Linked DNA regions of Drosophila melanogaster. The protein of the gene in region 1 interacts with the protein of each later gene in a pairwise test. Each region holds a gene or a part of one and is shown in the gene's direction. Other genes may lie near its edges.

Region 1 (8,263 bases):
ACCTGCAGTAGTGTTATTATTTTAACCGCAGCTGTATTCATCGTGTCATCGTGAAGTAATTGTTGGGTATAAAATATTCTCACTTGGCGCTATTTGTCACTGAGACAACTTTTAGATTCACTTTATCCCTCCCTCCCAAAAATATTCTATTTGTTTGGATACAATATAATCTCGGTTTTCTTAACAATATCTGCTGTTTGGGTTGGCTATTTGTGATTTCCATTTAAGAAAAAACAAACCTCGATTAGCGGTATATTTAGCACAACCCATTGGTATATCCCACAGCCAATTTCGAACTTCGAGGCAGTCACACTGGTGGATGTCGCTGCTGTGAAACGGGGCAGGACAAAACAATTGACCAATAGGAACCGAAACCAACACACTGCACTGGCCCCGGGATCGGAATGGCTGGATTCCTGAAGACAAGGTAATCACCTTGACCAAGGTAGTGAGGTCCCAGCGCTAATCAAACGCACACCATTCCTCCACAGAAAGCGCAGCCGGGAGGATGAACTGGCCTGCGAGTCGCCCCTTTCGAAGCGCATCAACAACCTGAATCTGAACTACGAGGATGGGAACAGCAGCAGCAGCAGCAGCTGCAGCATTCCGCCACTGTCGGGAGGAGGAGCGACTGGTGGATCCGGCGGGTCCGATGCAGCCGGAAACGGTGTGGCGGCCGGATACGAATACAACCCAGAACTGGGAGCCGAACAAAACCCATTTTACTACGAGAAGAACAAGATGCTGTACGACCTGCATGTCGAGCGCATCAAGCGGAGCAGCCAGTAGCTAGTGATCATGGATTCCGGTGTGCGAGTCCAAGTCCTGGCACAGCCATTTAAGTGCCAACACGAGTTATCTGCAGCAACACTCTCTCTAGGTTCAAAGTAATTCGCCTCCGTTCAGTCTTCTCTGCGCACGGATTCGGATATCCGTGTCTGGAGTCACTTGCGTTTGTGTGATAAGCATTGTTTACTTGCATGGCATTAGCATCACCCCTGATGCATACACATAATAATAGTAGTATAAATTGAGCTAAGAGTCCCCCAAACACGCACATGAATATATATAAACTATGTTCATCGGTTACCATCCCTTCAATATGTATTTATAATCCTGCATGTATAATTTATTCTAAGAATAATGTAAGAAAACCTCCATATCTTTATATTTTCCTATTTCGATGAAATACGATATCCAGGGGGGTACAAGTTCATTGCTGAGTCGGTGGAGATGGAAAATAAGCTACAGGGACCTGATAAAACGAAAGCTGGACTTATTCATTGTTTATATACGCATCTGCTGACATGGTCATTTTGCTTATTCCGAGAATTTAAGCATGGACCTGCAATACAAGAATACGTCCAATAAACATTTACATAGTAATACATCTCATCCTTAGACAAATCTTTAAAACAAATATTGCGCTCAAGGACTTCATTTTCCCAATTCGTGACCATTGACAGGGTGGCAACTCTATATAGCACTGTGTTATTTTAGTTAATTCATCTTTCATCAAATAGCTGATCAAATCTATTTCGCAGCATTCAAAAATTCGTATAACTAAAAATGAGTGTACAATTTGAAAAAACATATTGCGGTATATTTTGGTATTTGGACTACCACTGTTTTGCCAGTTTTTGAAAACTTTTGGAAAATGGAAAGTTAATATATTTTTAAGGTATTTAATATGTTTTCATGTGCATATATTGACATTTCAATGCTTTATGTCGTTTGAGATGGATTAATTTAAGCATTATGATTCCTCCATAAAATTGAAATGGAATCACCCTACTAAATATACAAGGCGTCTGCCAAAGCTGATTTTTCTGCATCTAACGGCTGGTCACACTGTCTATGTTTATGTCGCGCATATCGGGAATTTGTCGTACAATTGCGATTCGCGGTGCAAACAATCGAGTAAGTTGCCTATTCTCGTACTTGGTCGATGTGGAGACCCTTCTGCCGACCCTCAATCAGCTTCCACGCCAAAGGAGCTGGGTGAGCGGTTGAATAGTGGGCGCCAGGATGCCGTGGCCACGCAGTTCTTAAATCGCAGCGCCGCATAAACGAAGAGCCTTACTCTTTCTTTCTTTCCGCTCACAGCCATCAGCCCAAATTGCCATTGCCATTGCCCGGAGCACCGAATTGGCTGCAAAATGAGGCAGTCCGCGATAGGCGAGGACCGCAGGAGCAGCAACAAGGAATCGTGCCACTAGATGGCACAGGAGCACCAGAAGGACCAAGAATCAGATTAGCAGGAGCAACAAGTCCTTTGCACGCAACAGGTTATCACGAATTGCCCACAAGAGCACTCAGTTCCCACTCCAATCCAATTGCATCTAACGCATCACATCACATTGCGTCGAATCTAATCAAAACACATCACATAATCGCGATGAGCCCCTTCGGCTCCAAGAAAAACCGATCCCTGTCGGTGCGGGTGAGCACCTTCGACTCGGAGCTGGAGTTCAAGCTGGAGCCGCGCGCCTCCGGCCAGGATCTGTTCGACCTGGTGTGCCGCACCATCGGGCTGCGCGAGTCTTGGTACTTTGGGCTGCAGTACGTCGACACCCGCAGCAACGTGTCCTGGCTGAAAATGGAGAAGCGGGTGCGCGACCAGCGCGTTGAGCTGCACGCTAGCAATAATGTGTATGTGTTTAGCTTCTACGCCAAGTTCTTTCCGGAGAACGTCAGCGAGGAGCTGATCCAGGAGATCACGCAGCACCTGTTCTTCCTGCAGGTCAAGCAGAGCATCCTCTCCATGGACATCTACTGCCGCCCGGAGGCGTCCGTGCTGCTGGCCTCCTACGCGGTGCACGTGCAATACGGTCCGTACGACTACGAGACCTACAAGGACGGTATGCTGGCCGGGGGTGAGCTTCTGCCCAAGGGAGTGACCGATCAGTACCAGATGACGCCCGAAATGTGGGAGGAACGGATCAAGACATGGTACATGGACCATGAGCCCATGACGCGCGACGAGGTGGAGATGGAGTACCTGAAGATTGCTCAGGACCTGGACATGTACGGAGTAAACTACTTTCCTATTACGGTGAGAGCCTTGATTTTCACGTGGCGCATCTGAATCTTATCGTTTGTGTTCCCCACCAGAATAAGAACAAAACCAAATTGTGGCTGGGCGTCACCTCCGTGGGCCTAAACATCTACGATGAGCGCGATAAGCTAACGCCAAAGACAACGTTCCAGTGGAACGAGATACGGCACGTCAGCTTCGACGACAAGAAGTTCACCATTCGCCTGGTGGATGCCAAGGTTTCGAATTTCATCTTTTACTCGCAGGACCTCCACATCAACAAAATGGTAAGGAGGGCAGTTGTGACAACTGAAATATGTATATGTATTTTCACTATGTTCATGTTCCCATATTCATACTACACTTGCATCGTGTGCTTTGCAGATTCTTGACCTGTGCAAGGGCAATCACGATCTATATATGCGCCGCCGCAAACCCGACACCATGGAAATCCAGCAGATGAAGGCCCAAGCCAAGGAGGAGAAGCAACGCCGCCAGATCGAACGCAAAAAGTTCATCAGGGAAAAGAAGCTGCGCGAAAAGGCGGAGCACGAGCGCTACGAGCTGGAGAAGAGCATGGAGCACCTGCAAAACGAAATGCGCATGGCCAACGATGCACTTGTAAGACTCACTCCGCCCAGTGGCTTCTGATCTATAATATTGAGTTTCTCCCTGTATCCCAGCGGCGTTCCGAAGAGACCAAGGAGCTGTACTTCGAAAAGAGTCGTGTCAACGAGGAGCAGATGCAGCTGACCGAGTGCAAGGCAAACCACTTCAAGACGGAAATGGACCGGCTGCGCGAGCGACAAATGAAAATCGAGCGGGAGAAGCACGACCTGGAGAAGAAGATTCGCGACGCCGACTTCTATGTCCACCAGCTGACGGTGGAGAACGACAAGCGGGAGGCCGAGACTGAGAAGCTGCGCAAGGAGCTGATCTGCGCCAAAATGGCGGAGCGCGAGGCCACCGCTCGCCTGCTCGAATTCCTCAACAGCGGCCGCAAGTCCTCCACGGATAGCCTGCTGACCGCCTCCAGTGTGTCGCACGCGGCGAATACGGCGTCCAGCATGGCGGCCATCAGCACACCCTCCCTGATCACAAGCAGCTCAACCAATGATTTGGAGACCGCCGGCGGCGCCGAGCTGACCACCCACTCGTCACACTACCTGGTCCAAGGTGACAACTCCAGCGGCATTTCGGACGACTTCGAGCCCAAGGAGTTCATACTCACCGACAACGAGATGGAGCAGATCACCAATGAGATGGAGCGCAACCACCTCGACTACCTGCGCAACTCCAAGCAGGTGCAAAGTCAACTGCAGACACTGCGCTCCGAGATCGCGCCGCACAAGATTGAGGAGAACCAGAGCAACCTGGACATCCTCAGCGAGGCGCAGATCAAGGCCGGCGAAAATAAATACTCCACGCTCAAGAAACTCAAGTCCGGCTCGACCAAGGCGCGTGTCGCCTTCTTCGAGGAGCTCTGACCTCCTCCGCCTCCGCCTCCTCCGTCACCTACTCCCCCCTCACCCCCGCATCCGCCGACATGACTAATACCCCATCTAGCTGTACGATACGTTACGATTTGGCGTGTGTGCCTGTGCGCGTGCTAGAGTGTATGAGTGCCTTAACCGTAGTTGTACTATATCCTACTATAACATACTATATTTAATGTTTTTCGATTGTTCGCTCAAGCCGCTGCTGTAATAAACCAATTGCAAACGTACATATGTACATACATATGTACATATATGATTTTACATTCACTTACGCACGAAAAATATTCATAAAGTAGATGGGCGATTAGATACCGTTATTTTCGGTAGAAGATATTCAACACCTTCCATGCAGTTCCACAATTCATCGCTCTTGAGAAACATCACACCCTCTCACCGACACCGACTCTCTCGAACGCGATCTCTCTCTTCCAAAAATGAAAACTAATAAACCGCAAAACAGAATCAAAGGACGATTAAAATGCGCTCAAACAACGGTGATCAATAGCGAAGATTTGGCGCTCTTTTGACTTTGTCAGTGTGTTGATACCTTCCCTGCAGTTCCCCAATTCATCGATCTTGAGAAACATCACACTCTCTCACCGACACCGACTCTCTCGCGAGCGATCTCTCTCCCAAAGATGAAAAACCATAAACCGCAAAACCCAAAACCGCTAAAGCAGCGATGAAAAAACGCTGAATCAAAGGACGATTGGCCCGTTAAAATGCGCTTAAACAACGGTGATTAATAGCGATGTTTTTGGGATTTTTTTTTCATACCGATGATTTCCTAAAACATGCCAATGTTAAAATCACCGGTAGCTTTCGTGCAAATTGTGCGGTGTTTAAGCGCTCAACATTTTTAAAAGAGCGGTGATTTACCGATTAAAAGTCGGTGACTGGAACTGCAGGCACGGATTTGTTCTAGTTAAGTCTGAATGTTAATTACGATATTCTTGAAGCTCCCTCCTATTCCGCTGAGCGTGGTCGGTTTACGGATGTTATCCCAGAGACTGTGGATGTCCATCCGATTCCATGGTCTCTTAGTTCTGTTGCCATATATTTTCTGTCAGCTCGTTTAAATACATATGTACATATGTACATACATACATACAACTATGCAAATCGGAACGAAAATGCTGTCTTCCTGCAGTGTATCCTATAGCTAAAAAAATAAAGTGGCGCAAATTAAACGATTGGATTTCTATTTATTTATTATAATTTTTCAAGATTTCAGACAAAGGAATTGCATTTTAATTGAATCTGACTATAGATATGTATGTACCTGTAGACTATAGATTATGCCTAACGTTTAACTGCAAGGGTACTTAATCCTTTAACTTGGCGTGCACGGCGTTAAAGGAAATTTCCCACTCGATATGATAGACGGATCATTCAAAGGTATAGGGTTTCAGATCCGAAGAGTACTCCGGACTCGTTCGCACCATCAGTGTATCTTTGTCTAATTCAAGATCTTCAAAGGGTGTTTCTACCCTATACACCTTGTTATGTTCCGTTATTACGCGGAGTAATTATAATAAGAGAACTTTATTTAAAGTTTAAATAACGGTAAAAACTTAATATTAGATATTAAATAAACGAAATGTCATAGTTCAAATGAAAATGTATGTTATCCATATTGATTTCTGCTATTCCATTTAATTGAGTGAATCAAAAATCCAAAATTAATCAATTTTTTATAAGAAATAAAAGTGATTAAATGTATGGATATAGATGTGGCATGTGTTCCAGCCAAAATTTCATTGAAGCACGCGTAGAACACAGCCCAATTTGCAACTTTCGCAGAAGTGAGGAACTTGCGATAAGTGAGTGTCAAATTTATATAATAAAAACCCAATGGCACGAAGTTCGGTTTCCATTCGGGCCTCGAGCTACAATGAAGAAAGTCATAGCGGCACTCCTGATCCTCTTTGCCTCTCTATTTCTCGGATCCCGAGAGGGATCGGCTTTCCTGCTCGACGCGGAATGTGGAAGGTCGCTTCCAACTAACGCTAAGCTAACTTGGTGGAATTACTTTGATAGCAGCACTGACATACAGGCCAATCCTTGGATTGTTTCGGTGATAGTGAATGGCAAGGCCAAATGCAGTGGATCGCTCATCAATCATAGTGAGTGTTTGTGCCAAATGATGAGTGTCTTATTTAGCTCACGCAAGGCTAAATTTTAACCATTCCAGGATTTGTTTTGACAGCAGCACATTGCGTATTTAGAGAAGCCATGTAAGTCCTGCCCATTCGCCAGCATATGTGGTGGTCATCAGCCCATTACCCAATCTCTCCCTGTAGGCAGGTGCACTTGGGTGATTTCGACGCCTGGAATCCTGGACAAAATTGCAGCTCGGGTGCTCGCTTATCAAACGCATACTGCGTTCGGATCGACAAGAAGATCGTGCACGCCGGATTCGGCAAAATACAAGCCCAACAGTACGACATTGGCCTACTCCGGATGCAGCATGCGGTGCAGTATTCAGGTAATTGAGTGGGAGATATCCAGTCGTTGCCCTCGAAAGTCTCAACCAGAACTGCCTTTCCCCTATAGACTTCGTGCGCCCCATTTGCCTGCTCATCAATGAGCCAGTGGCGGCCATCGACCGATTCCAGTTGACCGTCTGGGGCACCACTGCAGAAGACTTTCGCAGCATACCACGGGTGCTGAAGCATTCCGTTGGGGATCGTATCGATCGCGAACTCTGCACCTTGAAGTTCCAGCAGCAGGTGGACGAGTCGCAGATATGCGTCCACACCGAGACGAGCCACGCATGCAAAGGGGATTCCGGTGGCCCCTTTAGCGCAAAAATTCTCTACGGGGGCACGTATCGCACCTTCCAGTTTGGCATCATCATCTTCGGCTTGAGCTCCTGTGCGGGCCTAAGTGTCTGCACCAATGTGACTTTCTACATGGACTGGATCTGGGATGCTCTGGTTAACTTGTCGGCATGAGGACATAAGTTATAAGTTATAAGTGTATAAGTTATTATAAACGTTTAAGCTGCAGTAAAGATTTGGAATAGCAATTAGAAAGTACTGCTTACTAAAACTAAGCCAGAGTGGGTGAGCTGCTTTATTTCGGATGCCTTTGGAAGTAAATGAGATAGTAGAGAGTAATAGACGAGGTTGGCTATAATCTAAAACCAAAGTAGCTTTATTACGTTTTCAAACATGTGATCATTTACATTTAATTACTTTGCCTCACTTCCTTCACTAAACAAATAAACGTAGTTCCACTAGTCCACTAGCCCAACTGACCAACCAACAACCCGGCCAGCCAGCCAGCCGGCCAGCCAGCCAGCCGGCCGACCAGCCAATCCCACAGCGGACGAGCGAGGCTATGTGGTGGTAGCACTTACAGGGTATACACTGAATCCATATCTTATATAAACGGTGAGCGCGCGAAGGAAAGCTTTTCGAAAGTGTGTGTGTGTGTGATTGATCGGAAATGGGAACCCAAATGGTCGGTTATAGGTTTTATATACGAAAGCTTAGAGTAAATTACATTACAAGTTATTATTGGGGCTTCCTCTCTTTACTAAGGAGTTGGTTTTTTTTTTTTTTTTTTTTTTTTGTTTTATAGTTTTACGTCTTTTGTTAACACCTTGGAATATTTTGATATATATATATATATGTATATACATATATATATACCTATATACACACATTAACTTACAGTAGATATCGTTAGCATGCAAATCGCTTGTGTGCAACAACTTTTT
Region 2 (7,131 bases), on another chromosome or scaffold:
ATAGGGGGCACAACTCAAATACCTTCGAGAGTGTAAATCCCGGAGCCACTTGACATCCGTCTTCTGACTCGATTTCTGCCACTACAGATTTATATTGCGCCGTCGAAAAGAGACAAATATCCGCAAACTGCCGGACACATACCTTAATCTTTTTTACCGTCCGATTTGAGTTGTTGGCCACATGAACGTTGACCGATATTTTTTCGCCGTGGTGGTATAACTCCTTGTCCAAAGTAGCTTCCAAATGGATCTTGTTTGGCTTCATCATAAACTCCTTGCTTACTTCGATCGATGGCTGCTCACCGACTTTGGATGGTGCGTACATGACTTTGCGAATAGTTAGTCGCACCGAGTTCCGCTTGTGGGGTTTGTCCTCCACGTTCTCACCTATTAGTGATAAACATTATGAATAATGGCATCAATGTATGTATGTTTGTTGAAGAAAACCCATGACGCTCGGGTGTGTCAGTAGTCCGATTCGTTACAAAATTTGTCGTTGATGTTGAGTCTATCATGTATAGAATTCCACGATGTTTAATCACAAGCCGACAATTACTGGCATTTACATATGGATATATATATATATATATATATATATATATATTATTCATATATATGCATATACATTCATTTAATTGATCATCAATAGCATTGCTTTAAAAATACGCATAAATATATATAATTGGTTATCCCAAAAACATAAAAGCTAGGAACATTAGATACACAATTGAACAGACGCAAAGTAAATAAAAATGCTGACTCAATTGTCATGAGGGGAAGCAGAGAAGCACTGAGAAATCGTTTCTTCCAACTGTACAAATTCCAACATTGTTGTTTTTATTCTTAAATTGAATTTGGGCTTATATACAGAAAAAATAAATATTAAGTTCTTGTTATAAACTCTTTTACCCAACAACACGCCAATTGCTGCTATTTTATTAATCTCTGTTTATAACAGTAAACAATTTGGCTGCTGAATAATAATAAAATTCCAACAGAAACTATAAAAGCACAAAAATGTGTAAACAAAATAGGGCAATAGGTAATAATATTTATTGAACAGAGAATGTATTAAGGGGGTGCCACGGGCACATAATATATATGCGAGTGGAGCTCGGCGATCGTACGAAAATATGAAAAATTTAAAATTTACAGAAACCAAAAACCTTTCTACTAATAAAATAAAGCACAAATTCTTTAAACCTTTTTTTAATTATTAAATACAGATTAGAAACTAAACAAATAAACATTTTGAAACTATGTAAGATCTTTGCTGTTGGCACACAAATCGTCAGACCGCCAACTGCGGCGCCTGGTTAAGGCGAACAACAGCATTAACTGCGCTGCAACTTCGGTTGATTCAAATTCCAATTAGAAGTGTCGAATTTCAATTAGGTGAACGCTGCGTCATCAGCCCGACGTAGTTGGATTGATTAACCCTGTGTTCCCAACCGCGTGATGCACGCGCTAACTTACACAAAACCACACATATAAGAAATTTACAGTCTAACTTCTATAGAAAAGAACAAAGCTAGTTTTGCTACTGTAACCATATTCTTAATAAATTATTTTATTCTCAGAAACAATAGTACCCGCAATTTAACTGCTCTAAGGTAAAAGAAAAATTTGTAAAGAAAAAAGAAAAATTTGTAAATTTGTAAATTTAATGTATTGCAACATATATAATAAACACGGTATGTGCCACACTGCGAAATATCAATGATTTTGACTTTGACTGACCACCGTATACGGACACACCCACAAGATCAGACCCACAAAGACTCACCCACAAAGGCCTTCAGCTCGTAGTCTACTCCGCAAGACTTGCCCACATCTCCAGGAGCCGGCTGCAAGGACACAGAGGCTGGGCAATAGGGCGGAACCTCAAAATAAAACGGATGGGCGTTCGGCCCCAGCTTTTTAATTAACCTTTCCTGAAGCCGGGTCATCGGGCGGTCCAGCTGCATGGGCGGATAGATCTGCTCATGCGCCAGATACAGGTCCTTACGGAACGTTAATCCCAAAACATCTAGGTCTTCACGTCCGTACCGAAAGGCGGCAAGCACCTGGCCAAAAACCTTACGGTCCTTTACGTACTCTGGATCAATGAAGACAACACCGTCAATGGGATCCACGTGCGTGACATGGTCGACGAAGTCCCGTTTGCCAAGGTAAACTGTTATCTTGCCGTTGGAGGAGCTCTTCTTAAACACCCGAGTCGCCTGGCGTCTGGAGCTGGCATCTCCACCAGTCTCGTCGCCTGCGCTTCCGCCCCCAGTGCTCCCGGCAGCTGTTACATTGGTGCTGGAGCCATTGCTCACATTTGCTCCTCCACTTCCTCCACCACCACCGTTCATTATGTTATTTGGCGGTTATGCTTGTTATTCTGCTTTTCTGCTGTTCCTGCTTAATTGGAACTCCGTTAAATAAATATATGTGTGCGTTGCGGGACTTGTGCTGCAATTTAATTTTTTATGTGTATACTTGTTCCGCCATTTACCAGCACTGCTTGACAGTCATTGGAAAAATACCAGGGAATATTACATACTAACAAATTATGTACTTCTCTGGTATTTCAATTCAGTGCGAACAAACCGATATATGTTTGGTCGTACCATAATCGCAGCCTATAATTAATATTTATTTTGCATTTTTGGCACCTATTTATATTTCCTAAGTGTGCCCTGGCCCATAGTAAGTGACTTTTAATAATTTTTCTTTCAATACCATTAACAATTGCTTGAATTAACATTAAGTTTCCTACTAAGATAAAATGCAACTGCAGGTTGACTTGGCTTTTTAATGAAATATAATATATATATTATAAATTCCTTTAGAAACAGATGATTCATAGCTGATGATTGAGGAAACTTACCATTTGGAATGTATAAACACATGTAAAATCAGACCGTTGGTAAATATCTAATCATAGATTGTATCCTAAGTCTTAAATAAATACTTTATATAAACTGTTTAATATTTATTTTATTTTTTAAAGGCTTTTATTATTTTTATATGTATACATGTGCATGAACGGACTTTAAACCATATTTAGTAGTGGAATAGAGCTATAAAAATGAGATTGAAGTCTCTAAAATACTTTATTTAATCAGCCTTAGCACCGATAGAGCACAACGGTCACACTGTTCTGTCCCTCTTTTCCACGTGCATTTTATTGAACGAAACCACGCGTTGTTCAGTCCAAACTTGACTTTGCTAATTTTGCCCAGAAAACCTCTAAAAGCTGTCAAAATGGCCCAAAAGAAAGCCGTCACCGTCAAAGGAAAAAAAGCTACGAATGGAGAGGAAAAGCCTTTGGCCAAACGGGTAACCAAGTCCACAAAGGTACAGGAAGAGGAGACAGTAGTCCCCCAATCGCCTTCCAAAAAATCCAGAAAACAGCCTGTTAAAGAAGTGCCGCAGTTCAGTGAAGAGGACGAGTCTGATGTGGAGGAGCAAAATGACGAGCAGCCAGGGGACGACAGCGACTTTGAGGTAAGCTATAAAAAAAACGTGGTCTTCTGAATGGATATGGCTAACATTACATGCATAGTATGCACGTATATATAGATCTGCATGGATAAGAATCCATTTTACGTTTTCTTTGCCACGTGGTTGTAAAGATTTTATAATTATAAGACGAGTGCACATAACCCACGATCCTCTGGTTTTATACCGACTCGGTTCATATATCGATAAAAAAAAAATTGTCTTTATTGGTGCTCTCCCATCAGCGGTTATAAGAAAATTGTCTACTTTTCAGACCGAAGAGGCAGCGGGCTTAATTGACGACGAGGCTGAGGAAGATGAAGAGTACAATAGTGACGATGAGGAAGATGATGATGACGATGAGTTGGAGCCTGGTGAGGTTTCCAAAAGTGAAGGCGCGGATGAGGTAGATGAATCCGATGATGATGAAGAAGCGCCTGTAGAGAAGCCAGTTTCCAAGAAATCAGAAAAAGCCAACTCTGAAAAGTCCGAAGAAAATAGAGGAATTCCAAAAGTAAAGGTTGGCAAGATTCCGCTGGGAACGCCAAAAAACCAGATCGTTTTTGTCACAAACCTACCAAACGGTAAAGTAACTGGTTTATTATTTCATTTTTCAAGTATATTTAAACTTAGTATATTTGTTCCACATAGAGTATCTCCACAAGGACTTGGTCGCATTGTTCGCCAAGTTCGGACGACTTTCCGCTTTGCAGCGTTTCACTAATTTGAATGGCAATAAATCAGTTCTCATTGCCTTTGATACGTCAACTGGAGCAGAAGCTGTTCTGCAGGCTAAGCCTAAAGCGTTAACCCTTGGAGACAATGTTTTGTCTGTGTCCCAACCGAGAAATAAGGAAGAGAACAACGAACGCACGGTGGTGGTTGGCCTGATTGGACCTAATATTACCAAGGACGACTTAAAAACCTTTTTTGAGAAGGTAGCTCCCGTGGAGGCGGTGACTATATCCAGTAACCGCCTCATGCCCAGAGCTTTTGTACGTTTGGCGTCGGTCGATGACATACCGAAGGCTCTTAAACTGCATAGCACTGAGCTGTTTTCTCGCTTTATAACGGTTCGTCGGATCTCACAAGAATCGATTTCACGTACCAGTGAACTTACCTTGGTTGTCGAAAATGTGGGCAAACACGAGTCTTACAGCTCCGACGCTCTAGAAAAGATATTCAAAAAATTTGGTGATGTTGAAGAAATCGACGTTGTGTGCAGCAAGGCAGTTTTAGCTTTTGTCACGTTCAAGCAGTCGGATGCCGCCACGAAGGCTTTAGCACAACTCGACGGAAAGACTGTTAATAAGTTTGAGTGGAAGCTTCACCGATTCGAACGCAGCACCTCGGGGAGGGCCATTCTTGTGACGAACTTGACTTCAGGTGGGTTACCCGTTTCGTAAAATTGTTTAAAATTATTAATCATTATCATGTAAAATTTCGTTGTAGATGCTACTGAAGCCGACCTGCGGAAAGTGTTTAACGATAGCGGCGAAATCGAAAGCATCATAATGTTGGGCCAAAAAGCGGTAGTAAAGTTCAAGGACGATGAGGGTTTCTGCAAATCTTTCTTGGCTAATGAAAGCATTGTAAACAACGCCCCTATATTTATTGAGCCAAACTCTCTGCTGAAGCATAGATTGTTAAAGAAACGCTTAGCTATTGGTCAGACCCGCGCCCCGCGGAAGTTCCAAAAGGACACTAAGCCAAACTTTGGTAAAAAACCATTTAACAAGCGCCCGGCACAAGAGAATGGTGGTAAATCGTTTGTTAAAAGGGCAAGATTTTAGAACTTGAACACTACAAGAATTAGCTTTAAGTTGCGTAGTACCATAAATACGGCCACAGCCCCGATAATTCCATACAACTTGATGTTATGGATTTAGTTGATAAGAGATACTCCATTAAATTTTTACCGGAGAAATGCTAGCCGTATTCAAGCAGATGTCGATTTTTATAAGCATCGGACATGGAACTAAATAAAAGTAAATAAAAACCCCGATAAGAATTTTGTATTCAACGTCTTGGTTTTGGGTAACTAGATACTTCAAAAAACGATTTACTGCTTATATGAACGTATACAGGTGCGATCTCCAGTATATTCCGTTTTTTTTTTTGTGTTTGAATTTTATCTCGCTTCGGTACTCTCGTATATAGGTTCCTATCCCTTCCAAATGGCCCAATGTACAGCTGCGCTTGTTCAAAAAGCGAGAACTATATGAATTTCCTTTGTATAATTAATTTATTAGTAATACATTTTTGTAGTATTTTATAATTTTTTGAATTTTTTTGTTCATACTCAGAAATCTAATATGGTTGGCTAACATATGTATAAACTTGTAAATGTTTGTATGTATGTTTATATTTTTTGTAAATGCCATTTAGATTAGTACTTTAAATTTCAGTAATTGTTGGTTCAAAAAATTAGTTTATCCTTTTTATGTGTAAATATGTATAAAAAATCATCACTTGGATAAAAGCAACGTATAGGGAGTTTAGCCAACCTAAAAAAAACCCTTTCGATTAGGAATTTCCCAATCACTCTGTTTATATATAGTTCGTTCAAGCTACAAAAAACTGTGCTCGTGACGCGTTTGGCTTACTGACAAGTTTTTGTGTGTTATATGTAAGTCTCTGTCTCATGTTGCTTTTGACCTTGTTTTATAAGAAATATAATATCGCTATCGTAATATAGCTTAGGCAGAAAATCACTAATAAGGCAAATTAAAGTGAAGGGCACTGTGTGGGACTTCTGAAAATACATAATGCAAACAAGCTTACTATTTAAACTTGACAACTTATATATCTCAGAGTTCGTTTAAGCCGTGCATAACTCATATACGTTGTATAGGCAAATTATAAGCCCTAGAATATTACTTTTTTTAGATATACTTTCACGAGAGCTTTTTCTTTCATGACGAATTGAAGTAGGTGACACTATCTTTCACAAAGCTTATAAAATTATGCCTACACAAAGGATAAAAGAATACAAAAATAAAACAACTGAAAGATTTTTAAAATATTTCTTGTTATTTTTATATAATTGTAGTATTGTATTAAACAGACAAATAAAGAGCGTATAAGTGTGCTGGAGATACATTCAGTTTTTTGATCCATGTGGCATAAACAACAAATTATAAATAATAATACATTTTTAACTGAGTCACAAAAAAATATAAGTCAAACGAAATAAAATATGAAATGGAAAACGTTTTAAAATTATAAGAAAACACTGGGTAAAAGCTTTTCCTCGTTTAATATTAGTACTGAACATGTTTATAGTGCTGCTCAATTTCCACATTATTAAATTTATAAATCCATTGAAATATAATATGTTTACAGATTTGTTAAATAATAAAATAAAGGTGCTTGGTAGTACAATAAAACCACATAAAATTCGGCCAATGTATAGACATTTTTTTGAAGAAGCAGTCTACAAGTTTCGCTGGTTAAATAACCTTGGTTTTCGTTGGATTAGTTTTAATTCGTTTTGGTTTTCGGTATATTCACCTTAAGACGCCGATAGCTTAACTTGAATTTTCATTTCTTTCTTTTTCTTGCTTTTATTCATGTGTTTTTGTTTTCTTTTGGCATGTGCCACAATTCCTATTCAATACATAATTCTTTTTGATAAAGGAC
Region 3 (7,242 bases), on another chromosome or scaffold:
AACCGCTGTGGCATCCTGCGTGCCTACGAAATGACACAGGAATACCAAAGGTAAGATGAAGTCCAATGTCCAGTCCATTTTTTTAATTATATCATTTGCATTATTTAGAACGTTCATATCTGCTCTGGTGGTCATCCAAAACAATCCAAATGTGCAAACCCAGGGCGACCGGCTCATCAAGGTTGGCTGTATACAGAGCAATGCCACCACATCGCTGGGCGTTTCGGTTCGGGACAGCAGTGTGGATAGCTCAGAGCCTGTGCCCAGCGCCATTGCACTGGAGTCCTCATTGGAGTACACAGAACAGTGAGTGTATTCTTAATAGAATCCCTCAAAATGCTTAATTCTATCACAATCGATACCTGCAGCATGTTCCCACACGAGGGTGTGGTTCACTACAACAGCAGCACTGGGCCCCATCCGCATCCCAGCATCTCGCTTCAGATTTTGGATCTATCCCACCAGCACGAGACCAACGACGTGCAGATTGGACAGAACCTGGAACTACAGATTGTGGCGGAGTACAGCCCACAGCAGTTGGCAGAGCACATGGAGTTGCAGCTGGCACCACTACCCGACTTTCGTGCTACCTCGCTGGTGGCCAAGACAGCGGACAATGAGAACTTTGTGCTGCTGATCGACGAGCGAGGATGTCCCACAGATGCCAGTGTGTTTCCCGCTTTGGAAAGGGTACACACAGCCAGCAGGAGCATGTTGCGCGCTCGCTTCCATGCCTTCAAGTTCTCAGGAACGGCCAACGTAAGCTTCGATGTAAAGATTCGCTTCTGCGTGGAGCGCTGCTCGCCCAGCAATTGTATTAGTTCATCCTGGCAACGGAGAAGGCGACAGGCTGACCAACCAGATCGTAGACCGGAAGACCTACGAGTTCAGAACCCCGTGTACATCTCCACGGTGGTGGATGTGGCTCCGCAACCAGACAACTTTACCAGATCGCAGGAGGAATTGCCCCTCAACTACAATATCCGGGTGCACGGTCCGGACCAGAGCAACACCAATAGTTATCTGTACGGCGAGCGGGGAGTGCTGCTCATTGCTGGCATAGACGACCCGCTGCACCTGGATAACGTTTGCATCAACCAGAGCCTGCTGATTGCACTGTTCATCTTCTGGCTGATCTGTCAAGTTGCCCTGCTCTTCGGCTGTGGAATGGTGCTGCAGCGCTACCGCCGGCTGGCCAAGCTCGAGGATGAGCGACGCAGGCTGCACGAGGAGTACCTGGAGGCGAGGAGAGTCCACTGGGCGGATCAAGGCGGATACACACTCTAATTGACGGCTGGAACGCAATGCGTATAAAATGCATCTTAATTTAATAAACATAAATCTAACATAAATCTAACAAATGTTTGCAACCGAGGATAAGTTCAGGAGTTCTTCTTGGGATGGTAGTGCTCCCACTTGCGATGGTTTAGCGAATTGAAATCCGGGCAGTGGTGAGCGATTTTGCGCAAATAGTCGGACAACTTGAGCAGCTCGGTGTCCGTGCCACGGTTGAGATGAGCCTGACGGAATGGGCGGATCTTTAGGCCGGACTTTGGGTTCATAAGGAAGTTGCGACGGATGTCATCAAACATGATAGTGTTGCTCGAGTTGTATTGCTTGTACAGGGCCCAGATTACACCAAGCGGCTTTACGTCCACCACACCGCGCTCCGGCACATGAACTGATATCATGGCGGTGGAGTCCAGATAGAACATCACCTTGTAGTTATCGTTACTGGCCACGCCCAGCAGGCGCATCTTTTCCTCGATCCAGCGCATGCTGGTGGCGGACCAGATGACAATGTCGTAGTCCTCGTAGGCGGAAGTCAGAAACTCGTGCAGATACGGACGCATTAGCTCCGTGCCTGTTTCAGCAGGCGATCGGTGATCGAATAGGGTATAGTCTATGTCCAGGACAAGCAGCTTCTTGCCCTCACGCGGCGGCGCTAACTCCTTGATCTTGTAGTCTCGCACACGACGCTGCACCTTGGCCAAATAGACGGCGGAGTGCTCCACGGACTCTTCGCGTTCATCGGCGTCATCGAAGTCGTCGACCACTTCGCCAATATTATCGGGCAGGCTGCACGCATCCTCGATATCGGCCTCTGTGGAGCCCACCATCATAAGCTTAAAGTTGGGCTTCAGCTCCAAAGCGCTGATCTTCACATTGTCGGCTGCTGTCTTTCCTGCAAGTCATTGGATCTTAAAACTGAAATATCCCGAAGCCTAGGAGTGTCACGCACCTTTGTACTTCAGGTTGAGCAGCTTTTGACGTTCCGGACGCACCTGTGTCTTGCGGAATATCTCGTGACGCAGCACTTCCACGGTGTCCTGGTCGGTGAGGTCCACCGGGTACTCCTTACCACTCCATTTTACAATCACTACCACTTCTTTGACCTCCATCTTAGCTGGTTTCTATTCCGCTATTAATTTATCACACCATATATGGTAATGTATGTTTGTTGGATAGAATCCAGCAAGTGGTTTGCAATAGTGTACCTTAAAGATATTAACTAATTTATTAGAAGACCATATAAACAGTCGAGTTGTCAGAAGTCGATAGATACTATCGATTGCAACGCCCGGCGTTATCGATTGCAATCGGCTTGCAATAAAAATAATGATTTTTTGATTATATTTTTCAGAGATTATTAAAAAATATTTTAAATTTTTTAAAATTATATATTTAGCAATTAAAGAAAGTCATGCAAAGACATGAGGAATGTCCCCAAGTTGCCAATAGGCGATTGTTTCGCCAGTTCATTGGCCACACTGGTCACCAGCTGAAAACACAAAAACCGATCGTACAGCATAAATTTAGCTCGAAAATGGACTAAACAAAGACAGCGATCCGGAATCCGAGCGGAAACATAGTCTGCATGAACTATCTAACGATCCTGCTGTGCAACCGAAAACCGACGATGCTCTCGCGCCGGAACAAGGAGAAGTCCCAGCACAAGGAGGGCGTGGTGGGGAAGTACATGAAGAAGGACACCCCACCGGATATTTCGGTGATCAATGTGTGGAGCGATCAGCGGGCCAAGAAGAAATCGCTGCAGCGCTGTGCGAGCACCTCGCCCAGCTGCGAGTTCCATCCGCGCAGCTCGAGCACCAGTCGGAACACCTACTCCTGCACGGACTCGCAGCCGGACTACTACCATGCTCGACGAGCACAGAGCCAGATGCCCCTGCAGCAGCACTCCCACTCGCATCCTCACTCTCTGCCCCACCCCTCCCATCCGCATGTGCGTAGTCATCCTCCCCTGCCGCCCCACCAGTTCCGCGCCAGCAGCAATCAGTTGAGTCAGAACAGCAGCAACTACGTTAATTTCGAGCAGATCGAGCGGATGCGCCGTCAGCAGTCGTCGCCACTGCTGCAGACCACATCATCGCCGGCGCCGGGAGCCGGAGGATTCCAGCGCAGCTACTCCACCACCCAGCGGCAGCATCATCCCCATCTGGGTGGTGACAGCTACGATGCAGATCAGGGCCTGCTAAGCGCCTCCTATGCCAACATGTTGCAACTGCCCCAGCGGCCACACTCGCCCGCTCACTACGCCGTCCCGCCGCAGCAGCAGCAGCATCCACAGATTCATCAACAGCACGCCTCGACGCCGTTTGGCTCCACGCTGCGGTTCGATCGAGCTGCCATGTCCATCAGGGAGCGACAGCCCAGGTATCAGCCAACTAGGTAAACTGCCTCTTGAAGTACTATATTTGAATAGATAGCGCGCGATTGATAAAGTGGGTAGAGATAATATGAGCAGCTCTTGATTAAAGGAATAATCCGTAAAAACTACATATTGTCAAAAAGTGCTTAATATTATTATAACTTTTAAACAATGACAATGCACGAAATGTTTTATTTTCGAAACATTTATTGTTCAAAGATTTTTTATTTGATAACAGATTGCTTTATTTATTTACAATAAGAAAAGTTGATGTACAAAACCGGTTTCTACTCGCCTTACAATAATTAAAACAATAACACAATATATGATTTTCTGTACGAGGAATATAATGGAATATATATGATATATACAACATTTTTAAACACATTTTCTCTTCTGTTTCCACAGCTCTCCGATGCAGCAGCAACAACAACAACAACAACAGCAGCAGCAGCAGCTGCAGCACACACAACTGGCAGCTCACCTGGGCGGCAGCTACTCCAGCGATTCGTACCCGATCTACGAGAATCCGTCCCGCGTCATCTCGATGCGCGCCACGCAGTCGCAGCGATCGGAGTCGCCCATCTACAGCAATACGACGGCCTCGTCGGCCACGCTGGCCGTGGTTCCGCAGCATCATCATCAGGGTCACCTGGCGGTGCCATCTGGAAGCGGGGGAGGATCCCTGAGCGGCAGCGGTCGTGGTGGCAGTTCTGGCAGTGTTCGCGGCGCCTCTACCTCAGTGCAATCACTGTACGTCCCACCGCGAACTCCGCCCAGTGCGGTTGCCGGAGCGGGAGGCAGTGCCAATGGGTCGCTGCAGAAGGTACCATCACAGCAATCGCTCACGGAGCCCGAGGAGCTGCCTCTGCCGCCCGGCTGGGCCACTCAGTACACGCTACACGGTCGGAAATACTATATTGATCACAATGCGCATACCACGCACTGGAATCATCCGTTGGAGCGCGAAGGTCTGCCGGTGGGCTGGCGGCGGGTGGTGTCCAAGATGCATGGCACCTACTATGAGAACCAGTATACCGGGCAGAGCCAACGTCAGCATCCATGCTTGACCTCCTACTATGTCTACACGACGTCTGCGGAGCCACCGAAAGCGATTCGACCAGAGGCGTCGCTCTATGCCCCACCCACGCACACTCACAATGCACTGGTGCCGGCCAATCCCTATCTGCTCGAGGAGATCCCCAAGTGGTTGGCCGTCTACTCGGAGGCGGACTCGTCCAAGGACCACCTGCTGCAGTTCAACATGTTTAGCCTGCCGGAGCTGGAGGGCTTCGACAGCATGCTGGTGCGGCTCTTCAAGCAGGAACTGGGCACCATCGTGGGCTTCTACGAGCGCTACCGGTAAGTGAGCGGCCACATGCCGCTGCATTCTCCGCTCTCCGAAAAGCCACTACTCTCTTGTTACACCTTTCAGTCGCGCTTTGATACTCGAGAAGAATCGACGCGCCGGCCAGAACCAGAACCAAAACCAGTGACCCGGTGACCAGGTGACGACTGACTCAGACCACATACTCGCCAGCAGCTATATGCACATCATAGTGCTCCTGTAATCGACCTTTAACTTATTTAACCATCGACTCATCGCGAAATCAGTGCCTTATACGAAACCAGACGAGATGGTAGCCAAGCAGATCCATGACAGTTCGAATGCCTTGATGAAACGTAGAATTGTGCTACGTTCTATATAACCTTAATGTGATTTGAGCTTGGCGTTTGTTTGTAATGTGAGCAAAGAAAATTAAACTGGTTTACTGATCATCTTACCTGCCGAGCGCAATTGTAATCGATGTGCCACCTGAAACCCCACAGGTATTTAACCTGGGAGTCCGATTCATCGACGGATGTTTTGGAAATTCAGCGCCGCGAAGTGTAAATAAAGGGCAACAGTTGGTGGCCAAGTCTTACTCGACTTGGCTTGGCACATATTTCCGAGTTCCATGCCAAGTTTTCGATTCGCTTGCAAAAATTATGCATTGGGCACAAGTGAATCGTGGCCGATTCTGTATTGGCAAAAAAAAAAACAGCGCTCCAATAGAAAGTGAATCTTATGTTTGTTTTCGTTTGGCTATGCTTATTTTTAGTCGAACCTGATAATTCATTCAGTCGCCTCTTATCGAATGCTTATAAAACTTTATAGTCACTGTTTCTGCAGGTCCCTCAAAAACAGTTTCTACTGCTGATAAGAAGTTTTCGAAGTCTGGGGAGTATTCGGCATTGGAAAGGCCAAAAGTTGTGTTTTATTATATTTTGAACATATTAAACAGGATACATAAAACGAGAGTTTTAGATTGTAATTACATTTGTCATATCTTTTGCTAAATTGATAAGTAAACAGAAAATATGACTCGATGGATATTATTGACTAATAATATATATTTAGGGGTTTGGTATGATTACTTTGTACTGTGAGATACAAGTTCGTTTGTCCCACAGATACTTTTCAATTCATAGCTTATCCTACAGATACATTTCAATTCATAGCTTATCCCGTAGATACATTTCCATTCATTGCTTATCCCACAGATACATTTTAGCATATTTTTTTTGAAATTTGAATTTGAAAAAAAAGTGTTTTTTTTTTTTTTGTTTTGAGAACTACTCGTCTTGTCAAAATATTTAACTGTTCCCGACTGAAGTGCCCACCTTTTCGGCCGCCGGGTTCTCAAGTGCAAAAATAATGTATAATAAAAAGCCAAGATACGTCGGCGGTCCGCTCTCGCCCCACTTGTTGTTGCTGCTGCCGCTGGTGCGTCGCTGCCGCTGCCGCAGTCGACGTCGACTCCATCGCTCCAATATTTAAACGGATCCATTGGATCGCGCACTCAGTCGCACTGGAGAGTCGCCATCGCAGCCATCATCATAGCATTCCATTCCACTTGTAGCCATCGGCAGTCGCTCAATCGTCAGTTGGGACACATTATTTAACTTCATTCTTAACGTGAGTGAATTGATGTGTTGGGTGGCGATCATGCATATAGCATAGGCAAACAACTGTTCTAATCCGCATTATCTTAATCACAATAATCCGGCGGCTTATACAGATGTTTTGCGTTAGCAGTTGGCGGCTAAAAGCCTCTGCTTGCCCACATGCCAGTGAAAGTTCTAATCCGGCTCAAACAGACGCACAACAAGCGTATCTCGTGCGTGGAATCATGAATGAATAAATGGGTGTTACTGTTAACTAACAATGGACCTTTTTACCAATCAATCGTCTTATCTATCACCAGAATTGAAACAGAATTAGTGAATAACTTATGGTGCATATCAGTTGAAACATGAAGATTCGTGTGAACGATCGTGAAAGATATGGTGTTCGAACTTTAAATTACCCTTGTAGTTTACCACTCTCATTAGTTTTGATTTATGTAGAACCAAAATTTGGATCGTGACTTGCGATTAGTATTGCAATCGCAGTGCATTGCCCAATCTATTGATTATCTGCAACTTGTGGCAGACTGCCGCAATAATTCGACGGACACTATCAGCTAGCTCCATTGATTGAGATAAGCCCGTTCTCACGCGGTGTTTTACACTTCTTGGCAATCGCCAAG
Region 4 (6,939 bases), on another chromosome or scaffold:
CTTTCAGCTATTTTTAAAATTTTACAATTAAATGCAGCAGAATGTTTAATCAATGTAAATATTGAATATAACTAAATATATTAATAATGTACTATTTTGTAAATATATCGTCAGCAATACTTCCATTTGGCTTCACATCCCATTTTAATATATGCATTTTTAATTTCATTTATAGTCCAGTCATAACCAAATGAAATAATATAGATGTTTCTTTTTTCATGCCATATATGCATTTATATTTCATGACAAATTAAATTAAAGCCCATTGAACAATTTATTTTAACGCAGTTCAGTTGATTCATTATGATAGAATTATACTTCGCTCAAAACTAATTAAATGAAAACCGTTTGCTTCAAATAATGACATTTAAATTCACTTAAATAAATTTCTTTAATATATCTTTAACAACATGCCATTTCCTAGCTCTCCATTTAAACTTCTTTCAAATAGCAAATATAAAATTGAATCACAACTTCTGTCTTGAATAATTTTATTTTAATTCAGTTGTTGTTTGCATGAGTTGCTCTTGAAACAATCTGTTTTCATAAATAAGTGTAAATATGTTAGTTGTAGGCCACAAGAAGACCCTTGGCCACCTCCTGGACTTTCTCCTTGCCCGCCAGCTCCTCGGCGATTTTGAGGGCGAACTCGTAGGCGGTGCCAGGACCTCGACTGGTGATCAGATTGCCATCCTTGACCACCGTCTTGTCGTCCACATAGCTTAAAGAAATAATCAAAAGAAATGGGATGAAGATCATGGGAAAATAAACTTAAGAGGTGGTATACCTATAGTTATTCACCAGCTGGGGCTTCATTGAGGGATACGAGGTGAGGGATTTCCCGGAGGCGACGCCGTGCTTGGCCAAAACGGTGGGCGCGGCACAGATGGCGGCGATGAGTCCGCCACCAGACTCCTGGCTGCGCAGCAAGTCACCGACCAGCGAGGACTCCCCCATGGCATTGGAGCCACCCAGTCCGCCGGGCAGCACCACCACATCGAACTTATCCGAGGCAACCTGGGCCAGCGAGGTGTCCGGCAGGATCTGCACATCCCGCGAGCACTTCACCGCTTCCCCGCCATTCAAACCGGCTACGGTGACCTTGATCTATCATATAGTAAGTATAAGTATAGAACAGAGTGATTTAATGGAAAGGTTGAGAGCACTTACGCCCGCCCTTCTCAGAACGTCGGCGGCTATGATGAACTCCATCTCCTCCGCTCCGGGAGCCAAAATCACCAGCGCGCTTTTCGACATCTTGGTAAACTTAGAAAAGTGCCTTGAAATTTGAGGAAATCCAAAGAAAACCATGCAGATACGATAGCTTATCGATAGCGCTGTTCTGGAACGCAGCTTTGAGTTTTCCTTATCGAGGTTTCAAAAACTGAGCGGCAAACTAAAACACTTGTATAATTTGGTTTGACTTGCAGTTAGGCGACTAATTTGATGCATTTAAAACTTCTGTTTTTCACAGGAAGTTAATATTTTCATTCTTACTCAAAACAATGTTCTGCATTATATTTTAAAATATTAAGACTTTGAAATCAGTTGATTTTATTTATATGAGAAAAGGATTGCGTCTATGCTACGTGCTACACAGAAATGGTTTGAAACCTCATTAACAATTCTAACAAGTCTTGTTCTTTAAGTTAAAACCGATAACATTTACTTGCTCTCTATATTCTGTCGTATTACATAAATTTATATAAACTGATCACTGAAATATTTTTATATTTGTTTTCAGTATAATATCGATGTTTATATACCACGGTCAAATCCTATCGATACCTGATGTGGTTGCCAGACCAAGTACAGCTGCTCCTCCCTAGATCTCTGTCTATCGATATCGGTCTATCGATATGTGAACATATCTAGCACGACGGCAGCAACAAAACCACGAATTAATTTTACTAAATTTAAGCCAAACGCGCATCGGAAATGCCTGAAAAATGCGATTGAATGCACGCGAAAAGTGATGGGTTGCGAACGCGAGTGAATCAAGTGAAAATACGTCGGCAAATATCAGCGAATTGTCGTCAAAAGGCAAGGAAAAACGGAGAAAAAGAGGAAAAGCAATAAGTGCCGTGTGTGGGAAACGCGAAAAAGGCGAGAACAAAGAGGCGAAAAGCGAGGAAATTGCGTGGAAAACGTGGAAAACGCGAAGAAGGTAATTGCGGAAAATGCCTGGTGAAAATGCAACGTTTGCAGCTGGAATTTGCGTATCTTCCAGTCCAAAAAGAAAATGCAATATCTGTTGAATGTGTGCGAGTGTGTGTGTGTGTAAGCCAGTGCGTGTGTGGCTGCGCTGGTGTGCGCCCCATGTGTGTGTTGGTGTGCATTTCCAATTGCCTGTGTGGAAAAGCAAGGAAAACTGCACGGAAAACGCACGAAAAGCAATCAAAAATGTGCGGAAAAGTGCCTGAAAACGAAATGCGAAGCACACACACAAATGCAACAGGCTGTATTTACATATTTCGCTCTCGCTCTCTCGTGGAATAAATCAGTACGGCTGCGTGCGAGTGTGTGTGTGTGGGGGAGAACGGAGGAGACAAAGAGAGCGAGCGAGAGGTTGCTACACAAATCGGATTAAATTCTTCTGTCTTCCCTCTCTTTCTGGCGGAGGGTACTGGTGTCCATGGAAAACTATCAATCTCGTAGAATTTTTAACTTTATTCCAGTGTAATTTCGAATGCCAACGACATTAGGCAAGGTCAATGTATGCACGCACTTTTCTCGGTTTTCCCGTTTCCTCTTACCATTTTCCAACTGAAACAGCGCTTAATTGGCTGCGATATTCGTGTGTCGAAAGAATTACAAATTCGAGAAATCAACAAGACATTAAACAACGAAAACTGAGAGTAGTACAATTAGAGTAACAGCAATAACAATAATAATAGTGGTAATTGCGGGAATACAAGGAAAACATGGCGAAAACGGAGCAAGATTTGAATACAGTGAAGATCTACTAAAAGAAACTGCGAGGACTATTGTAGAATTGTGATATTTACTATAAAGGAAACTTTTGAATCATTGCAATTTGAAACTATGAAAATATTCCAGTTAGAAACAAATTTAATTTTCATATTTGATGGACTTAAGCAAAAAGAATGAGTCATACACAAATATCTAATAATCACAAAATGCTACTTTGATATGTAACAATAACCCCCACATATGGATATGAAATGGAAGAGCATATTCTTCATTAACCCACATAGGCAGAAGCCACTGTAGTCATAGCAGAGATCAACTTTGTGACAGTATGCGCGGTGTTGATGCAACCGTGGGCAGCAGCTGCCTCCGATTTGCATGTGACTAGAGTACACAATCAACGGAATGGGGAAAATCCGCGGGAGCAGAACAGTAAATGCACAGACGCAAGATGCAAATGCGAAATGTGGCACAAGTAACTGCGGCCCATTGTAATTTGTAATTAGAGGCAGCGCCGCCACTTCAATGTCAGTGCGACAATAATTTCTCAGGCGGCCCGTTTGTGCTCGCGAAAAAGCAAAAGCACGAAACACGAAGCACAAAGCAAGAAACGAAGGGGCGGGACATCGAGACCTCATCCTTTGTGGAGGCAGCCAGCCGAAAATTCATAAACTTAATTGCAATGAGATGCAGAATGTGTGTGACACAGCTATCTGTAGTTTGAATACTCTTTAGTAGCTAAAACTAGCAGCAACTTTATTGAATGGTTTTATACTTGCCATCAAAAGCAGACTTCAGTTCTACATACACTATTTTGTATAGAATGGAAGTAAACCATCGATTCTCTATCGGATTTCCAAATATTATGGTACACAGCTATGATATAAACAAGCCCACAAAACTTGCAACTGAAATCGAAGCTAAAGTCCAAAAAAACGACTCCGAAATGTGCAAAACTTTGTTGTTGCAGTCACTAGTGGGACGGACTACTACTATTACTACTACTACTACTGCTACTATTGTTGTTTTTGTGCTTGTTGGCGATGTTGCGATTGTTGTTTTTGCTTAAAACCAGCAAACAGCGGCGTCATCGTCAGCGACGCTGGAAAATCGCTGGGATTCCATTCACATTCCAGCATGCAATTCGCAGTGGATTATGTGAGTGTGTTGTTGTTTGTTGCTGCCTTTGTTGTAGCTGTTGTTGTAGTTGTGATAGTTGTTGTTGCTGCTGGAACAGGTGAGGCTCCATTGGCGTCGATCGTGTGCATTCCACAGAGCACACAGAGACACACACACACACGCGCGCGCATATAGCCAACGAGCAGAGAGCAGGGCAATAAATACCAATACAGTGGGCTGTTTTTGCTGTTGTTGCTCGCTTTTAAAAGTAAATGAACGATAAAACAAGAAAAGGAAGAGGAAGTTTGGCGCGGGGATTGTGACGACCATAGGGATACCCCGCAGAAAGTGTAGAACGCAATGGAGCATAGTGCTATATGGATTCCAGTGTAATCTTTAAACGATTAAACTCTTTTCAATGAAATGATTTTTGATACAAATAAAGTTAACGGATACTGAGCATCCTAGTTCCTAAGTCACATTGAAGAATTTTAGGCTATTTTCCCAAAGACCGTATATCCTAAGCTTGTGAGGGTGTTCGCTGATCTTGGGCTAATCCCAATGAAAATCCCCAACCCCCTGGAATTTTCCGCACCCCTTCTGCGCCCCTGTTTCGTTGCAATGCAAGTCGAGCGATGTTGACGACGAAAATGCAATTTAGCTCGTTTTTCTTGCTTGCTTCGATCCCCGCCCCCTTTTTGCCGACCACCTCCAGAGAGTGTGTGTGTGTGTTTGTGTGAGAGAGTGTATGAAAAAAGGGAAAACGAAACGAAAACAGAGAGATGGAGAGCGAGCGGGAGAAAGAGAGCAAGAGCAAAGGCGACCCAGCAGCAGCCGCCGACCCGCCCCCTTTTTTCCGCCTGCTGCCTCCCCTTTTCCGCCTCTGATCTTCTTCTCAGCAGGCTGTGGAATGCGCATTTTTGCAATAATAATCAGCAACTAATACTATTTTTATCTTCTGCCCTGACGCGTCGCACACTTCTTCGCCTGCCTGTGTGTGCGTGTGTGAGTGTTTGCCCCCTGCAGCGTGATTCTCTCTCTTCCTCTTTCACTCCCTCTCTCGCTCTCGCTCGCTCTCATTTGGAGGCCCGTAATTCCCTTGGGATTTCGGGATCTGTGGTTCATTACTACGCTTTCGTAATCTATCGGGTGATAAGTTATCAAAGTTGAAGGTAGATTATGGGTCAAAATCACATTTCTAAACAAATTAGTATAAACAACAGTCTATTTTCAGTGTGAAAAACACGTAAGAAAAACCAAGTGAGACTTTGTAGTTTCTGAAAAAGTAAACCCAAGTCAAAATGTGGTTACAAAATGGCAATTAAGTTAATCCCAAAGATACATGCAGCTTTTAGTAAATCTGTGTACACAGTGTAGTTCTCAGGTGATTAAACACCTTACAGGTGTCAAAGTAAACGCAATCTGAACAACGTAAATATGCAGTCCTAGTTTGCGAAAGTGATTAGAGTCTATTGCTCCAGAAAAGCGTTACACAGCTCGAAAAAAAGGGGTAAATATGAGTTCCAGAGATTTGGAAAATGTGTAAAACTAACGAGCCATCAACTATCTCAATTAATGCTAAATGTGAAATTCTGCCTAAGCGAAAATAGGAAATAAAAGCCATTTAGATATCGCTTTAGATACGAAGCGGCACTCGCCCTTTCATGTGGAGGCACAACTTTGGACGCAATTAAACAATTAAAGATTCCCATGGCGTAGCCGCTTAATAACGCATCTAAATCAAAATATTTCAGCAGAGTGCGTTGGAGGAGGGTGTGGAGAGGGGAAGGGGGGGCAGACTGGCGTGGATTGCAAGTGAATTGGATGTTTGGATTGTTAATTAGTTATTGGATACTACGAGCACACAATCCGGCCGTCTATTTGCGCAAAAATACTGAGCGGTATGCGTGGAATGCGAATGTTTCCCAACTTGGCACCAAAACATATCTACATATATACAAACATATAGCCACCATAGTTATATAGTCCGCCAGGGCCGATCTCTGTTGACACTCGGATTTGGCGCGTGGGGCCGAGATGTTTACCCACCCGGGATCCATATGCTCCGGCGACTTGTTATCATCTATGGCTTGTGTGCTCAACCCCGGCCAAATTCGCATTCCTTGGCAAAAGCTAATAGAGCGGAATTAAAGTAAAGAAGCAAAACAACAATACAATTTTGTCAACAGAATAATTAAAACTCATGTTTCGCCTTGCCATTTCGTGGCTCCCAGCTTTTTATGTTCGACTGAATTTACAGGGCAATCAAAACGCTGTTTGCGGATCAAGGCACCGAGTCATTAGTGTTTTTGGATGTCGGCAGATGTCCATGGCTCATTATCTCCGGATATATGTATGTACACATATTTGTGGACACGAGTGTGCTGCAAGGCATGTCAACTGTTCGGTGCGCCAACTTTATGAAGCCATCAATATGGGGGCACTGCTGTTCTAGGCCAACAAATATTCGAGATACAACCGACAATACAAAATGGAATAGAACAAATTCATTAGAATGCAATCGAATCTGTATAGTTGGATAGTATTCCCTCCTGCAGGGTATCATGCACTTCGATCAACCGCTGCGTTTCCCTTCCTCATTTGCACTTGGCACAAATTCGGCGAAATTCCGTGTTTGTTTACACATCTATCTGTCGATGGCTATTTCATAGTCAGGTGCGCACGCCACTCCCTCCGCTCCCCTCGAGCTCCACCTCCCCCCCCACACACACACACATATGGATACACGCATATAGTGTGAACTTAATGGTTCGTCATAAAATTGGGTTTGTTTTTGCGTTGCCGGGGGATTTTTGTTTCGTTTACATTTCCCCAGAATTCGAAACATGACATAAGAGCATAATTTATGTGCACCCCCACCTTTTCGCA

Evidence for each region.
Region 2: the proteins of Mer (region 1) and mod interact in a two-hybrid assay, tested with the Drosophila melanogaster proteins (2 studies listed by BioGRID).
Region 3: the proteins of Mer (region 1) and sav interact in a two-hybrid assay, tested with the Drosophila melanogaster proteins (2 studies listed by BioGRID).
Region 4: the proteins of Mer (region 1) and wts interact in binary tests that used the Drosophila melanogaster proteins (3 or more experiments, as listed by UniProt).

What each region holds. Positions count from the first base shown.
Region 1 is NC_004354.4:19,687,093-19,695,355, reverse strand, and holds Mer (merlin), read left to right. Parts: upstream 1-1,855; 5' UTR 1,856-1,920; intron 1,921-2,106; 5' UTR 2,107-2,398; coding exon 2,399-3,055; intron 3,056-3,114; coding exon 3,115-3,324; intron 3,325-3,421; coding exon 3,422-3,658; intron 3,659-3,720; coding exon 3,721-4,524; 3' UTR 4,525-5,659; downstream 5,660-8,263. Other genes in the region: CG14229 (uncharacterized protein), read left to right, coding at 405-427, 492-789; CG14227 (uncharacterized protein), read left to right, coding at 6,431-6,662, 6,731-6,773, 6,840-7,024, 7,093-7,493. UniProt on the Drosophila melanogaster protein: Regulator of the Hippo/SWH (Sav/Wts/Hpo) signaling pathway, a signaling pathway that plays a pivotal role in organ size control and tumor suppression by restricting proliferation and promoting apoptosis.
Region 2 is NT_033777.3:32,049,483-32,056,613, forward strand, and holds mod (modulo), read left to right. Parts: upstream 1-2,577; 5' UTR 2,578-2,694; intron 2,695-2,837; 5' UTR 2,838-2,914; intron 2,915-2,998; 5' UTR 2,999-3,252; coding exon 3,253-3,495; intron 3,496-3,763; coding exon 3,764-4,073; intron 4,074-4,140; coding exon 4,141-4,875; intron 4,876-4,941; coding exon 4,942-5,282; 3' UTR 5,283-5,492; downstream 5,493-7,131. Other genes in the region: krz (kurtz), read right to left, coding at 1-387, 1,787-2,357. UniProt on the Drosophila melanogaster protein: Its capacity to bind DNA and protein(s), and its differential expression during development suggest a role in the regulation of gene expression during Drosophila development.
Region 3 is NT_033777.3:23,056,820-23,064,061, reverse strand, and holds sav (salvador), read left to right. Parts: upstream 1-2,757; 5' UTR 2,758-2,878; coding exon 2,879-3,690; intron 3,691-4,078; coding exon 4,079-5,032; intron 5,033-5,103; exon of another isoform or gene 5,104-5,105; coding exon 5,106-5,166; 3' UTR 5,167-5,453; downstream 5,454-7,242. Other genes in the region: CG17111 (uncharacterized protein), read left to right, coding at 1-50, 109-306, 369-1,287; Ublcp1 (Ubiquitin-like domain-containing C-terminal domain phosphatase 1), read right to left, coding at 1,383-2,185, 2,243-2,402. UniProt on the Drosophila melanogaster protein: Plays a key role in the Hippo/SWH (Sav/Wts/Hpo) signaling pathway, a signaling pathway that plays a pivotal role in organ size control and tumor suppression by restricting proliferation and promoting apoptosis.
Region 4 is NT_033777.3:30,801,516-30,808,454, reverse strand, and holds the start of wts (warts), read left to right. Parts: upstream 1-1,835; 5' UTR 1,836-2,167; intron 2,168-6,939. Other genes in the region: dj-1beta, read right to left, coding at 565-721, 788-1,107, 1,171-1,257. UniProt on the Drosophila melanogaster protein: Negative regulator of Yorkie (Yki) in the Hippo/SWH (Sav/Wts/Hpo) signaling pathway that plays a pivotal role in organ size control and tumor suppression by restricting proliferation and promoting apoptosis.